Drosophila melanogaster: one gene and its partner. The protein of the gene in region 1 purifies or fractionates together with the protein of each later gene. This does not show direct contact. Each region holds a gene or a part of one and is shown on either strand. Other genes may lie near its edges.

Evidence for each region.
Region 2: the proteins of Ent1 (region 1) and CG14717 purify together in Drosophila melanogaster (affinity purification with mass spectrometry, with the first as the bait; one large-scale study listed by BioGRID). This does not show direct contact.

Annotation. Positions count from the first base shown.
Region 1 is NT_033779.5:354,750-359,614, reverse strand, and holds Ent1 (equilibrative nucleoside transporter 1), read left to right. Parts: upstream 1-1,740; 5' UTR 1,741-1,928; coding exon 1,929-2,192; exon of another isoform or gene 2,193-2,286; intron 2,287-2,423; coding exon 2,424-2,724; exon of another isoform or gene 2,725-2,777; coding exon 2,778-3,248; exon of another isoform or gene 3,249-3,302; coding exon 3,303-3,697; 3' UTR 3,698-4,050; downstream 4,051-4,865.
Region 2 is NT_033777.3:11,694,640-11,698,996, forward strand, and holds CG14717 (uncharacterized protein), read left to right. Parts: upstream 1-1,869; 5' UTR 1,870-2,006; coding exon 2,007-2,927; 3' UTR 2,928-3,688; downstream 3,689-4,357.

The DNA of each region.
Region 1 (4,865 bases):
TTCCAATCGAACTGCATTCCAACTTAGAAATTGTATTTTTTTTTCAATTTTTCGCCAAAAATCATAATCCAAAATTTTAAAATTGGGTAAATTTTTTTTTTACCATTCAAAAAGTGTTATGTACCGAATCCCGTATATACGGGATAAATTAATTAATTAATAATATTAATTTTTCCGATGACAATGTAAATATTAAGTGCATGTATCCCTCGTCAGCTTTCCTGCTAAACGGCGGCTGTCAAGCATTCCAGCCAACTGCCACTTGGATACCCAAAAAGCCAGAGATCTTTAGGAGGAAACCAGAACAAGATCACCTCGGGTGGTCGGAGGACGTCACTCAAATTGAAGTCCGGCAAATGAGATTTGCCCGGCACCGGAGTGTAGAGCATGCAGAGAGGGCGAATGGAATCCATATCCGCAGCCCAATCTTCATCATCTTCGTCTGCGAGTTGAAGTTGTTGGATTTTTAATTAAGCGTGGCCTGCACCCGAGGCTTTTCGTCGAGTAGCTCTTCGGGACACGGGAAGTACGGCGATCTCGGCGGAACAGGTCTTGTTAGTAATTTTTAATTTGAGCTCTTCTGACAGCCAGCTGTCATATAAATTTAATTGAATTTACATTTTTATTAATTGCCAAGTCTGCTAGTGAGCCCAGTCTCGATCTCGTAGTGCTACCCGTTGGCATGAATGGGAGATGAGTTGCTTAAGCCGACTGGCTACTCATCAGACCATCAGCCCATCCACATCAACATCCCCATCCACTTCCACTCTCTGAATGAATTTAATTTGAGATGATTTGTTGATGGTTTCGTTGTGGTGATTTCTTGCTGACTAATTTAATGTGATTTTTAAATTGCCAGACCGAGGCAGAGTGTGTGGCCTGCGCAGGGGAATCAGAATCTCATCGGGAGATTGATTGGGCTCATGGGAGTGGGGGCAGCGTTTTTACGGAATTAATGAGATGACACGCCTCTCGCTGGGATGCGAAACCCCCTCGTGATCATTATGAACTAATCTAATTTGCAAGCCCGCGATGACAATCGAAGACGGAAGAGAAGTCCCCTCGATCCTTGCCCACCTGGGCAACAGCGCTAACGAGGACGCTTCTCCTCGAAGGCCCCCTCCAGTTTAATTCGCAAATCAAACAACCGCAGGGCAGAGATCGGAAATTCGCGCATAAGTAAATTAAAAATAAATTTATGTCCCGACCAGTGAGGGGGTCAGGAAACGCATGTCCAGAGGGAAGGAGCGTGTGTTAACCGGTTTCGGGACGAACGCGAATGCAAATCCAATTAAAATTTCGCAAGCGATCAATGGGCGAGGGGTGGAGGGCGGATCGCATCCTGCGAATGGCGCTAAGCCGTAAAACGAAGCTGTGCGCTGATTTAAAACACTGCGGGGCGTGCTTATTGATTAAATACAAATTGCGTTCATTCATCATCAGCTCTAGGGTCTGCTTGATATTGGTGTTTTTATTGTTGCTGCTCTGGCTGGCAATTAAATTACGATTTGAGGTGGATGCTACGCTCGTTTTGCAAATAAAATCCAATTTCACAGTCCTCTAAAATATAGGACTAAGATGCAAAACTAAGATGCAGTTTGAATCCCATCACATTTCGCGCCAAGGGCTGCCAACCTGGGTGAACGGTTTTGTGGTGTTAGTGCGATATCTTAGATATTTTCATTTAATCGATTCCTCTCGATAAGCCATCGATATTTTTTGTATAATGTCTTGCTTTGTTGTTTACAAATTCGTTTTTATGTTACGCAGTTCGTCCGTGCTAAATGATACACATGAAAGTAAATTGCATCAGATTAAGTTACATCGAATACTTCTCCACAATTACAGATGTGAATAATCCGCCAGAGGTGTTGTAAATTTATGAATACCAAGGGCTGCGTACAAAACAGTAGTGCAATTCAGTGGCAATGCCAGGCACCAGTGACACACGACGACTGGTGGACGCCCTGGACGAGGATGACGAGATTCTGGGCACGGAGGGCAGCTTCGTTCCCGCTTTTCGTCCGCAGGACCACCATGCGGATGAGCAATGTCTCATGGAACGCCAGCAGGACGAGGTAGTTTTGGTGTCCAACGAACCCGAGAGTGGACGACTCTTCACCTACCTCGTGTTCTACCTGTTGGGCATTGGTACCATGACCCCGTGGAATTTCTTTGTGACTGCGGAAGATGTAAGTTTAACGAGTGGAAATTTCCGCACCCGCATCCTAGTCAATTTAACTGAACTTCGGACATATCAATTCCAAACAGCTGAACAACTGGGCCAAGCGCAATTCTAAGGCGCGGTGCTTATCAGCTTTGTCGTCGTTTCTTTACGACCCACACCCAGACGAAAACTCTCTTTTTTGATTTTCTTTGTTTTCCGCTGACTTACGCTTTAACCCTGTTCGCTTCTCTTTCAGTACTGGAAGTACAAGTTCCGGAATGCATCGATTAATAACACAGACCTGGAGGAAGAGCTCACCCCGTTGCAGAAGAGTTTTACCTGCGACTTGGCTCTCACGGCCACTATTTCTGGGACTACATTTCTGCTGCTAAACGCCATTTTCGGACACCATGTGTCCCTGCGCACCAAGATGTTAGGAACGCTGTGGATGATCCTCATCCTTTTCGGGGTTACAACTGGCTTCGTGGAGATCAACACAGACACGTGGCAGGAACAGTTTTTCCTAATCACTCTCATCATTGTAGTGCTGCTAAATAGTGGGTACCATGAAGTACTCCTTGAGTGTTTACTTAATATTTATTATATATAGTATCTGCGGCTACAATGTCGGGAGCCCTCTACGGAGTCGCTGGTCTATTTCCCTCCGAGTTTATCACCGCTGTGGTTAGCGGACAGGCTCTTGGTGGTATCCTCACAGCCCTGGCCTTCATTCTTGTGCTTGCATTCGACACGGGTCCCAATACCACTGCATTCATCTTCTTCATTGTGGGAGGAGTGCTCATCCTGCTTTGCATTGTGTGCTACGTAATCCTGGCTCGAAAGCCTTTCTTTAGGTATTATCTCGAAGGTGGCGACAAGTACAAGGTCATCCGGGCAGTGCCCTCGCACAACCGGAATGGAAGCGCTGAGGGCTTGCCGCTTGAGCCTATTTTGCGTCAGGTCATGTCGAAGATCTATCTGCATGCCATTTCCCTAGCGCTCCTCTATACCACGACCCTGTCTGTCTATCCGGCAGTTACAGTGCTTATGCAGTCAGAGTACGGCCACAGCGTGTGGACAGGTAAACAGAAAACCTATTCTTTTTGTTCGTGCCTCATATGCGGTGTTCTTACAGATGTTTATTTTCTGCCCGTCGTGAACTACCTGATATTTAACTGCGGTGACTATTTTGGTCGTCTGTTTGCTGGCTGGATGGAGCGACCATTAAACCAGAACACTTCGCTACTATTTATTGTAGTGCGCATGGCGTTTGTTCCGTTATTTCTATGTTCAAACTCCAGCGAACACAGCTTTCTGCCAGTTTTGGTAAAACACGACTATACTTTCATAGCGATGATGGTAATGTTTGCCTTGTCCAACGGATATTTTACGAACATACTACTTATAATGGCGCCTAAACGCGTAAAGCAGCATGAAAAGGAGCTGGCTTCGTCGATAATGGCAGCTGCTTTGAGCTGTGGCATGGCTGTGGGATCACTGCTCAGCCTTGTATTTGTTCAAATGCTTTGAATTAGCCAACAAAATAAGTCTGCCCATAGTGCCTTCGGGAGTTTCAGAATCTTAAGCATTATAGTGATAGTTAACTTGATATTGGTTGCTCTTCCAACTACTTAGGGGGTGTTAATGTTTTTACTTTTGTTACAAGTCTACTGACTGAAATTATTTACACAGCGAAATTTTATTTAAATTTTTTCCAAAACGAAGTGTTATTTAATATTTTGAGTTATTTTGATGCTGTGTGTTGTTTTCCAAATTTTACTCATTTTTTATTTTAACAAGTTTACTATATCGGGATGCCTAGATTTAAGGTTTAAAGTTTTCATTATATACTAGGAATAAGACGATATTAAAAAAATTAGAACAATTAATTTTTCTTGTTTAACGTTTATTTCGGGTTTTCTGTGGATCACAACAACAATGTGGATAGATTTTATTGGATTGCTTTTGTCATTAATCATTGAATTAATTAATGAACTCCATCGTAGCGCGGTCTGTGAAGAGTTGTGTTTAAAATATACTTAGACTAGAAATCTAGTGGCGAATTGTAGTATGTGCATATATCGAGGGTATACTGTACCTATAAGTACACAGCAACACTTAGTTGCATTGCATAAATAAATGTCTCAAGTGAGCGTGATATAAGATCACCCATTTATGCTTTAAGCTAAGTCAGCATCCCCACGCTGGCCGCTGGCCATATATGCGCATAAGCTCTCTCTCTCTCTCTCTCTCTCTCTCTCTCTCTTATACATATATATATACGCTGCTCTTCTGCCGCTGTCGACGGCGGCGCAGTCGCAGTATTTAGGTAAGATTAGACACTCTGTAGAGGTTAAGCGGGCAGAACCGTTTCTGCTACTCGAAGAGATAAGAAGAAATAAAAAGGTGGCCTGACGGCTGCACCCAACTGCAAGGAAAACACGTGTTCTCAATTGGTGGCATATATTGGTTTATTACATGGCGACCGTGAGGCAGGAGCCTGCGATCTGAGGACTACTGAGGAAATGCTGCTAATATTGCCGATTTGATTTGGGAATTCTAAACAGCGACAACAGGTGTGAGAGGCAGGCCGCCCCTTACACCAGTGCGGGAGACCTAGAGACGGGACACTGATGAAAAAAAAAGAAACAAAAATACTGAGTGAGTAGAGTGTGGTAATGGGCAAACGCGGATGTCA
Region 2 (4,357 bases), on another chromosome or scaffold:
AACCGGTTTACGTATATTTTGGTATAGGAATACAAATTTTTAATTTATTTTTTACCATAATAACATATTGTATAAATTCAAAAATAGCTGTGCAGTTCTTGACTGTGGCAAAGAGAACAAGCATTCCAGAATATTAGAATATTATTAGAATCCTAATATTAGCATATTAGAATATTATTAACTTATGTCAAAGAGAATTCTTAGTTACTACTCCAACCCTCGAAACGGTTATGTGCTGCTGGTGGATGTCTTGAATATTATACACAGTGCTTTCGAGACAGCCGTGACACGAACCGTTTTCGGAAAATAACCGGTTAGCAACTCGGTTTTTAAACCTGTCACAAAGTTCTTTTAAATTTTAAGTTTTTTAGTTTTGTTAATTAGAAATTCTCTAAGGTTATATATATTTAAAAAATGTTCTGCTTAGTTGTATTCAATGTCAAATCATTTATTATTTAAGTTATTCAACCGAAATAGCATTTATGCCGTTAGTCTCCTCCAATCTGTTGCATGCATTTGTTTTTGTTTATAAGTGACTCTCTGGGAGTCCTGCTGCGTATTCCGCTCTCCTGCTGAATAGGGTTCAGTGCACCTGCGCGGATAATTACGCCGGCTTTTTGCTCCCAATCGGAATCTCTCTAAGATTTTGATGCTATGGAGATGAAAGGCATTCCCCCAATTCGGGCAAGTATTTAGCCGCGTGGCAACAGGACAGCGTCCAAGGCTTAGAATGGAATGCGCTGACAGACTGAGGTAATCCTTTGATGGGAATTCGGAGGTCTGATTCCCCGGGGGGTCGTATCCAGCATTCGGAGGATTTCATTGTCGCTAAACTTTTCAATGGGGCTGATTGGAAAAGGGGCAAAACACGACTTCAACTGTGGGTTTGCATTCGAAAGTTCGTTTTTATGGCTCCAAATGAGGTTTCCAGTTTATTTATTTAGTTCGTTTTATGTTCTTCCAAGCCAGCGGAGTACTACTCAAGGGTGCTTCATTGTGTCAATAGCCTGAAATTGGATATGAAGTGCCTTCGATACTGTCAAACAGTAAGACAGACAGCTGCCATGAAGTGTACCCACTTTAATGGCTAAATCGAAGTTCAAAAGCGAGGGATTCCGGGTAAAAATAGTTTGAAAATTTGCATTCATTTCTATTCCAGCCATTAGACGGCGTCCGTTGGCTTGGTTTTCAAAAACAAACGAACTTCATCTTACGATTTGTGCACCAAAAAAAAAGAATATTCAAGTAACAAGAAATGTCTCAGACCATTTGTTTGTCTCTGTGTCTGAGCACTCGCCAAGATTTATGCCCTCTGTGATGGCAAACTCAGCGCACTCACATTATGAAAATGTAAAAATGTAAAATATGAAAATGTGGAAATTTGAATTTACTCCCCCTTCTCGTAGAGCTGTTTCTGCCATTTCCTAATTTTCCACGCAAATGCATTTTATTTATTACGCAATTTGGGGATTTGCACTGCCAGCCGCAATTGTAAGCGACATAAAAGCGCTTAGACTCCGACTCCGGAGCGTTAAACGAAGCATTAGCCCCAGTGGATTACGGCTAATACCATTGTGTCCCGAGACGACGGACGCTACGGGGCGTATACGGAATATCCCAAGGTACAACTCGAGATGTTGTCTGAAATAAATAAATATGAGAATAAAAGTGTTGCTTTTATGCAATGGCAAGGAATAACAACCGCATTGATGTATGCCATTACGATATTTTTAAACTGAAAACAACACAACTACTATGATAGTATTGATTTGATTTATTCTTTGTAACATTCGATAGAATTCGTTTTAAACTGTCAATAGAAACTGAATAAATCAATGTATGCCAAGTTTTAAAATGTAGCATGATTTCGTTTGAACTTTTAAATTGTAGAGATTTCTCTGAATTTCTAGCAAAAAGAAATCATTTTTACATGGATAACAAAAGAAAACCCAGCTTTTAATGTAGTTCCCTGCAGAACTGACAGCTATTCTAAATTTTCGGAAACCATGGCAAGACAGCGACTTCTCGGCTCGATCCTTTCCAAAGGCGGAGCCCAAGTGCTGCGAAACTTCCAGTCATTTGTCCAGGGCACTCGTTTGGAGTATGTCTCCTACACCTCGCCGCGCAATCAGATGCAGGCGCCACCAATTGTGGTGATGCACGACCTCAATCTGTCACTGGAATCCTGGCGCCAGGTAGCTGTTAACCTCAGTCAGGTTGGATTGCGCCAGGTGATCACCGTGGATGCTCGGAATCATGGCCTTAGTCCTTACATAACCGGGCATTCGCCAATGCACCTGGCCGCCGACGTGGAGGCCCTGATGAGCCACCAGAGACTGAACAAGATCGTTGCACTTGGACATGGAATGGGCGGTCGGGCAATGATGACACTGGCACTCACTCAGCCGCAACTCGTCGAGCGGGTCATACTGGTGGACATCACACCAGCACCGGTGCCCAGTAACTTCTATCTCACTCGGCAGGTGTTCGAGATGATGCTCCAGGTGGCGCCCAGTATTCCCTCAAATCTATCACTTTCCGAGGGGCGTACGTTCATCCTGCCACTGTTCCAGGATGTGGTCCACGACGCCTCCGAGCTGCGTCGCATTATTTACAATCTGCGCAAGATGCAGGACAACACCTTTGGCTGGGCAGTTAATCCCCAGGCGGTCCTAAGCTCCTGGGGGGAGATGATGATCAATTACGAGGCCACTTTGGGCGGACTGCGTCCCTACATGGGCGAAGTCTTGCTCATAGCCGGTTCCCAGTCGGAATTCGTGACCACGACCAGTATTGCCGTGATGCAGAGATACTTTCCAAATACAGTGGTACAGATTCTGGATGCTGGACACTGTGTGTATGAGGATCAGCCGGAACAATTTGTTGAACTAGTCGTGGAGTTTACTCAAACATGCTTAGTATGTTGAAGAAACACCTATTTGGTTATCGTTTAAAGTGACTTTTATATAAAATTGGCATTGCTATATTGGCTGATATTTCAGCACTCAATATACTCCACCGATAATTGCGCTGTCAGCAGAATGGAAACCGCAGAAAAAAAGGGCTGAATGGCATGACCATTTGTGGCGGGCGGGCTGTTGCCAAAATCGATGGGAAATCAACGTGGCAGGCAATCGAACCGATACCGAGTACCCGATACAGGTGCTCCAAGTGGAAGCCAGGAGGTTTGGCACACAAAGGCCAATCCCTCAACCCGCCAATTTGCCAATAAAGCAGCTGAAGACGAAGGTGAGGTGAAATGCGCCACAATGCGATACAATTTAGATTTATATGCTTTGTCTGATTTATTTGTATTGGACGTGTGGGCGATGGAGACGTCTGTCTGACTGGCTTTTGTGTGTCTGCTCGTGCCTCAAAAGTCGATAATCTGTGTCCCGGCGAGTGGGGTGCTCATCTACACCTCGGAGCAGCTCTTATTGCTGAAATTGAGTCATGACTGAGATTTGAATGTGCAAATGTACACAGCAGCAGCGACTTGAAGTTGTTTGCCCAAACTCCGTGCCTTTGTTCTGGCTTTAATGAGGATTACGTGAAATTTCATTATGCTTCGTAATAAATAAGTAGCAAGTCAAATAAACAGGGACTGGCAAACACACACACATTCCCACACACTCCGCAATGAATGTACATACCATCTCAACTGGATGTGCGTACGCACTACGTACCGAAACCATATTAAAATTTAGACACGTACACATTTTATTGCTTGTTATTTTGCCTCTATGTGTGGCAGCTGCATAAGCCCAAAATGCTGTGGCACTGTGGCACTGTGGCTCAACTTCCAGGGTTTTCTACTCCCATTCACATCTATGTTATGAGGCCTGCGGTCCTGACCTTAACTTCACCTGGGAGATTTGATAAAACAATATTATTTCCTGGAAATAAACGAATTACCCCAGCTGAATACATACATGTTTAAAACTATTTCAGCGTTAAATGCTTAACAAAACCAAATCTATGAGTATAAATGGCTATAATTGCTGCTGATGGACTTGGGGTATTATATCCTTATAAAGCCCCGTGCCCCGTAGAAGTGCAGTATAATACAGTTAAATACCTAAGTGCACTCATTCCATTAAAATGGATTGCAGCCTATGCTGAATGCGTGCAATTCATCTCAATTAAATGTGTATTACATTTTATGAATATTGATTTTCAACGCCCCCCTCCATTAATTCGACTTTGTGCGGGATGCAGATACTTCATACTTCATTGGCAGATATGTAGGTGGATAGGTGTTTTCGATACCCAATGCGCACCTGCACCTTCCGATTCGTGTCAGTTTATTCAGGTAGATTGCTGAGCTGAGCTGAGCTGAGCTGTGCTGCGTGTTTAC